Linked DNA regions of Callithrix jacchus. The protein of the gene in region 1 purifies or fractionates together with the protein of each later gene. This does not show direct contact. Links are inferred from orthologs where the notes say so. Each region holds a gene or a part of one and is shown on either strand. Other genes may lie near its edges.

What was found.
Region 2: the proteins of C18H1orf226 (region 1) and PLK1 purify together in Homo sapiens (affinity purification with mass spectrometry; 3 studies listed by BioGRID and IntAct, counting the BioPlex papers as one, with this or other methods). This does not show direct contact. The link is inferred for Callithrix jacchus from reciprocal best matches to the Homo sapiens genes C1orf226 and PLK1.

What each region holds. Positions count from the first base shown.
Region 1 is NC_133519.1:22,230,641-22,234,456, forward strand, and holds part of C18H1orf226 (uncharacterized protein C1orf226 homolog), read left to right. Parts: 5' UTR 1-196; coding exon 197-314; intron 315-3,502; coding exon 3,503-3,816.
Region 2 is NC_133513.1:24,296,749-24,299,910, forward strand, and holds the end of PLK1 (serine/threonine-protein kinase PLK1), read left to right. Parts: intron 1-883; coding exon 884-961; intron 962-1,476; coding exon 1,477-1,631; intron 1,632-1,732; coding exon 1,733-1,915; intron 1,916-2,086; coding exon 2,087-2,287; 3' UTR 2,288-2,588; downstream 2,589-3,162. Other genes in the region: ERN2 (serine/threonine-protein kinase/endoribonuclease IRE2), read right to left, coding at 3,062-3,162. UniProt on the Homo sapiens protein: Serine/threonine-protein kinase that performs several important functions throughout M phase of the cell cycle, including the regulation of centrosome maturation and spindle assembly, the removal of cohesins from chromosome arms, the inactivation of anaphase-promoting complex/cyclosome (APC/C) inhibitors, and the regulation of mitotic exit and cytokinesis.

The DNA.
Region 1 (3,816 bases):
CAGATCTAATGTAAAGGGGGCTCAAAATACTGACGGGGAATATAGGGGGCGGAATCTCTCAGTGCCTGTGTAGAGTTTTAAAATATGACCCTGTTTTTGTTTAGTCACTGATAAGCTTGTGGGATCCTGGTGGTTCAGGGTGTGCACCACTCCTCACAGCAGGGCCCTTGTCTTGCGTGCTGTGTCCTCCTGAGGTATGCTGCTGCTGGTGGCCCAGGCAGGAGGTGACACTCTCAAAGCGATTGGTCACTACGTAAAATGTGTCTTTCTCTTGTTTGTTTCCCACCTGCTTTCCGAGCTCCTTTCTCGGACAGGTAAGATATCCTGTTTGTTGTGGATGACTTACATCTCCAGATGCCCTCCTCTGCTTGAGTTGTATGCATGTTGGCGGGGGGTGCTGTTGGGAGGGTCACCTGGCTGGGATGCAGTCATCTCTCTCTCCTTCATTGCCATTATTTTCTGAACCACCAAGCGTCTAGTCCTAGGGCAAGAGGGACAATGTGTGGGGATCATTAGAGCCATCATCAAGAAAGGGACCCATTGTACATCCTCAGACGTGGGGATAAAGTGACCTCCAGCCAGAGCCCCACTTCCACTTTGAATAGAAGGGCAGTTCTCCTGGTCTAACCTCAAGAGCCCCTGAAGACCACTCCCATAGAGGGGGTTTTGAGTGGCTTTTATAAATGGAGAAAGACTTGTGAGCAGTTTCCCTACAATGCCAGCCCATCATGCACGTTTTAAGAATTCATAGAAAAGTCAGATTTAGTTGAACAAACTTATTAAATGGCTATTAAAGGCTCTACATGCAAGACCCTAAGCTAGGCATTGTGGAAGATGAAGAAACACTTCAGATGCTATGGCCTCTCAAGGAGCCTATCATTTTAAGACTGGGTGTATTTACTGGAAAGATTTAGACAAGTGTGAAGTGCATGATAGGTTATATTTCAATTACTTGAGAACTCAGTGCATTTTATGGAGTATGTTATGAAGGATAGAGAGCAAAAAATGCAGGAAATCCAAAATGGTGGATAATCCAGAGTTATGTTTATTACTAAGAGTCTTTTTTTTCTTTTTTTTTTTTTTGAGATGGAGTTTCGCTCTTGTTACCCAGGCTGGAGTGCAATGGCGCCATTTCGGCTCAGCGCAACCTCCGCCTCCTGGGTTCAGGCAACTCTCCTGCCTCAGCCTCCTGAGTAGCTGGGATTACAGGCACACGCCACCATGCCCAGCTAATTTTTTGTATTTTTAGTAGAGACAGAGTTTCACCATGTTGACCAGGATGGTCTCGATCTGTTGACCTCATAATCTACCCGCCTCGGCCTCCCAAAGTGCTGGGATTACAGGCTTGAGCCACTGCGCCTGGCCTACTAAGAGTCTTTTAAAAATAATAGCTCATAATTTAGGAATCACCTTGGCAGGCGTTTTTGGTGCTTGCCTTTTTAAAACCAAATAGGTCTGCTGCGAAAATTCACTTTAAACCAGTAAGGAAGCCAGCAAGGAAATGTCTGATTTGGGAAGTGGTGGCAATTTGCCTTCCCCAAGCATTTTGTATGGTTACATTATAGTCTATGTACTTTCTGGTTTGGGGGATTATAGTTAAATGGTTTGGTTTCCAAATCTTCTTTGCTAGTTTGCGATGACATGATTAAAGAAAATAAGAACAATGTGGGACCTGACAGGCAAATTGTGCCAAATTGGATGATGTGGCAAGATATGCACTTAGGAGAATCATGAGGAGTTGACCCTGCTTGCTGTGGAGCGGGCTGGAAGCTTCTGCTAGAGTGGCGGGTCCATCTGGAGCCCAGCCAGCTCAGGTCCTATGTCCAAGGGATGCTGTCATAGTGTTCCCTGGCCTGACCTCACCTTGCAGTGGTGAAGATCGCAGGACTCATCTGCAGAGAGCAGTCTCCACTCCTCTTCCCACAGCTTTTCCTCCCTGCCACCCAAAGGCCCTTAGAATATGGCATATCTAGGTAGTTGGCCTAGCAAGGATAGCGCCACTGAAACCACAAAAAAGGTTGCTACCGGCCCAGGATGCAGCAGTGTAGGGCAGAGAGAATTGCTTTACATAACAATTCAACAGAAGAAAAACTGTACCCTAACCCCAGTTACTCTTAGAAGAGGCTCAGTGAGAATAGACACTTAGCAGAGGTGTTGACAAGGAGAGGAGCCTAGTGATCAAATGGTCCAGTAATCGTCTTCCCTCAGACTGACAACTTATCTGGGGTAGTTGTTATAGACAGAAACCTTGATCCAGGTCCCAAGGCCTCAGAGTAGGTCTGGCTGCCTGATGACTAAGCTGGATTTCCAGATAGGGAGAGGATGCCCAAGTGTGAGTGTGTGGACAGCATGGCTTAGAGCCTGGAGCTCCAGTCATTTCAGTAACAAACTTTGGAGCTACTATCTTGCCCACCACAGTTTTCTATCTACAAAATGGGTGTTGGCGATTCAAGATCTGTATTGAGCACCAGCTATGTGCCAAACCCAGGCTGGGCATTGAAGATACAAAGATGAATGAGGCATGGCCTCCTTGCAAATCTTTATGACCTAATGGGTTTATACCCAGCTCTTTGAGTTCAGTTTCAAGCCAAAGAGGACCCCTACATGAAGGACCATGTACCAGACATATATAGGCAGCTTTCCATGATTCAAAGCAGGGCGGAGTTGTAGACAGAGCCCTGAGCTGTGGGTTAGAAGGCCCGAGTTCTAGTTCCAGCCCTGCTGCTATTTAGCTGTGTGACCTCAGGCACAGCACTGTATTACGTGGAGTCCCGCTTGCTTCATCTATAGGTAGGTATCCTTCCATGCACCACCTCCCTAGGCGGTTGTAAGGATTCAGTGAGCTGATGTTCACTAGGATCCTCAAGCTTCACTGGCACCGAGCACCTATCCATTTGGTAGGAACTGATTCTGAACCACCACTTAGCATCTCTGCGAGAGCTGGCCCACTCGCTCAAGTCCTACCTCTGCAGACCTGAGGAGGGGCTGCCCCATTTTTCATGGAGAATATGTGCTGTATGCCCAATACCCATACCCCTCTGTCCTTCAATGGGGAGCGTCTAACACCAAGCCTCATCCATGCCATCCCTCCACCAGCTTCCAACCCTCTGAGAGCTCAGCACGTGCCCAGGGCGATATAAAAATGTCATGTTTCTTTGCTTCATCCTCATTTTTTCTTTACTTCAAAGGGCCTGGTGATTCCAAGGTAAAGCGGGCAAGCCATGAGTCAAGGAGGCAGGTTTAAAGGAATAATTTTATTTTTTTGTGGCTAGGATTAGTCCCTGATTAACGTGGATGGGGCAGAGCTAGAATTTCTAATTCCTCTGCCATCAAGAAAACTGCAGTGGAAAGTTCAAGAGTGTCTTTGCTGGCTCTTTCTTGAATGTTTCCAAAGCCTGGAAGGTTCTAAGTTTTGGGTGTGGCGTAAGGAAAGCTGAATGATAGGGCACAGGTCCTGCTCCCCTTTCCTCATTCTGTCTGTCTGTCCCCTCTTTGTTCATAGTTGACCATGGCATGTTTGAGAATCTGAACACAGCCCTCACTCCAAAGCTCCAGGCCAGCCGCTCCTTCCCCCACTTGTCCAAGCCCGTGGCCCCCAGCTCTGCCCCTCTGGGCTCTGCTGAGCCTGGGGGGGCGGGACTCTGGGTGGGCAGCAGCCAGCACCTCAAGAACCTGGGCAAAGCCATGGGGGCCAAAGTGAATGACTTCCTGCGGAGAAAGGAGCCCTCCAGCCTGGGCAGTGTGGGTGTGACGGAGATCAACAAGACCGCAGGAGCACAGCTGGCCAGTGGGGCTGATGCGGCTCCAGGTGCCTGG
Region 2 (3,162 bases), on another chromosome or scaffold:
TCTGATCCGTCTCTTACTTTAGCACCTTGATATGCCACCTTCATATGCTGTTTCTTTTGCTCAGTAAGTTCCTATTGTTTCTTCAAGACACTTGAAATAACAGGCCCAGATGGGCTGCAACCTCAGGGCTTTCACACCTATGGCTCCCTGGCCCTGTCATGAAAGCAGACACTAGCTTTCATGGCTCACACTGTGGCCTCCTTCAAGTGTCTGCTCCAGTGTCACCACTGTGAGCATCTCCCTGGCCTATCTGCTAGTGCTTCTCATCCTCTTGCCCGCTGCATAGTTCTCCATAATACTTCTCACCCAACATAGTCCAACATATCCATCTTTATTTATTGGATTTTAAATAAGGGATTTGTTGCATGCACTGAACATAATATTTTGATGTGTTTGCAACTGGCTTCTGTCTTCACAGTTTCTTAATTATTCCAAACTGGAAAACTAGATAATATCGTCCTCTGACTCTTACCATAATAGAAGTCACTGACATTTTGCCCATACTTAATTTGATTAGTCTTTGTCCCTACAGCCACAGTGTAAGCTCTGTGGAGGCTGGGGTTTTGTCTGTTGCTCACTGTACATGTGACAGTGCCTGGCAGGCATAGTAGGCCTTCAATAAATGAATCAGTCAGTGGAATGAAGGAATGAGTGGAACTTGTCGTTCTGTGCTGAGATTTTCTGTGTAGATGTCTGTGCTGCTGCTTGTCTAAGCCTGTTAGCAGTAGAGGCCCTGCTTTGCTCTTCTCTGGGACCCCAGGCCTCTCAACTCAGCCCAGGTGGAGTGCTCAGCAAGATTCCCTGTTCCCTGGTGTGGGCCACATGTGTGAACCAGAGGGGAAGAGGCTGGTCCTGACCAATTGTTTGTCTGTTTCTGTCTCAGAGGAGGCTGAGGATCCTGCCTGTATCCCCATCTTCTGGGTCAGCAAGTGGGTGGACTATTCGGACAAGTACGGCCTTGGTAGGTTTCTACTAGAACAGGTGGGTGACTCAGGTACAGCCAGGTGACCTTTCAGTTGTTACAGACTCTGGCTTTTTTGGGCTCCCAAGTTCTCTTCTTAGTGCTCTCTTCTCTCCATCCCAGGCCTCCCAGTTCCAGCTCCCAGTGCTCCCTGACTCCCCTACTTTTTTTTTTTTTTCCAGAGACAGGGTCCTGCTCTATCGCCCAGGCTGGAGTGCAGTGACGCAATCATGGCTTACTATAGCCCTCAAACTCCCAGGCTAGCTCCTGGCTTAGCCTCCTGGGTAGCTGGGACTACAGGCGCACACCACCGCACTCCACTAATTTTTAGAATTTTCTGTAGTGATGGGATCTCATTATGTTGCCCAGGCTGGTGGTCTCAAACTCCTGGGTTCAAGCAATCCTCCCACCTCAGCCTCCAAAAGTGCTGGAATCACAGGCATGTGCCGCCTCACCTGGCCCCACTCCCCACTTTCAATTCCCTCTTTCTGAGGCCTCTCTCCACCAATCTCTAGGGTATCAGCTGTGTGATAACAGTGTGGGGGTGCTTTTCAATGACTCAACACGCCTTATTCTCTACAACGATGGTGACAGCCTGCAGTATATAGAGCGTGATGGCACTGAGTCCTACCTCACCGTGAGTTCCCATCCCAACTCTTTGATGAAGAAGGTGAGTGCCATCCTGCCCAGGGGGCGTGGTGTTGTGGGAGTGGGACTTGTGCTAGAGGGTCAGACTCTAATTCTAGAACCCCTCCCCTACTTTTCATCCAGATCACCCTCCTTAAATATTTCCGCAATTACATGAGTGAGCACTTGCTGAAGGCAGGTGCCAACATCACGCCACGTGAAGGTGATGAGCTTGCCCGGCTGCCCTACCTGCGGACCTGGTTCCGCACCCGCAGTGCCATCATCCTGCACCTCAGCAACGGCAGCGTGCAGATCAACTTCTTTCAGGTGAGCTGGAGGTCACCAGAGGCTGGGGTAGGCTCCGTGTGCCTGGCAGTGGCCCATGTGAGTTGAGTGCGGAGTGAGCGGCTCAGGTACCTATACCTGTTGTGTCTTCCCTCTGCTCCCTAACATAAACTGGCCTCTGGGATCACCAATTGCTGCCCCCTTCTCTTACAGGATCACACCAAGCTCATCTTGTGCCCACTGATGGCAGCCGTGACCTACATTGACGAGAAGCGGGACTTCCGTACATACCGCCTGAGTCTCCTGGAGGAGTACGGCTGCTGCAAGGAGCTGGCCAGCCGGCTCCGCTATGCCCGCACCATGGTGGACAAGCTGTTGAGCTCGCGCTCAGCCAACCGCCTCAAGGCCTCCTAATAGCCTCCCTCACCTCTGGACTGGTGCCCTCCTCACTCCCACCTGCATCTGGGGCCCACACAGGTTGGCTCCCATGGTGCCATGTCTGCAGTGCGCCCCCCAGCCCTGGGGGCTGGGCAGAGCTGCATTATCCTTGCAGGTGAGGGTTGCTGTGTAAGTTATTTTTGTACATGTTCAGCTGTGGGTTCTATATCTTTGTCTCTTCCCCAAAACCCCACTGTATGAATTATACAGGATATTTCTATTGAATTTGGGACTGTCCTTTCTTGGCTTTATATACATTAAACAGATGCAAATCTTCTTTTTTTTGTCTTTCCTGAGGGGTAGGACCTGGGCTCCAGGGAACATCTCTGCTTCATCAGCCCCAGGCCGCCCAGTCTCTGCCAGTCTTGGGTGGTGTGCTTTTTGAGACACTGTCTCTCTGTCCACCAGGCTGGAGTGCAGTGTCATGATCGTGGCTCACTGCAACCTCAAACTCCTGGGCTCAAGCGATTCTCCCACCTCAGCCTCCCAAGCAGCTAGGACTATAGGCATACACCACCATGTCTGGCTAATTTTTAAAATTTGTTGTAGAGATGGGGTCTTGCCATGTTGGCCAGGCTGGCCTTGAACTCCTGAGCTCAATTGATCCTCTCACAGCCTCCCAAAATGTGGGGATTACAGGTGTGAGCCACTGCACTCAGACTGGCAGTCTTTTCTGATTCCGAGGCCAGCTACAGTCTCAACTCTTCAGCCAGCCAGCTTGAAGACCATCTGTGTGGTCTCTGGCCCACCTCACCTCCCTGCGGCCCCAGGGCATGGTCCCCTGGCTTCTGACGCTGGCAGGTAGTAGGGCAAGAACAGGCTCTCGGAGGTGCAGCTCCTCATGGCTTGGT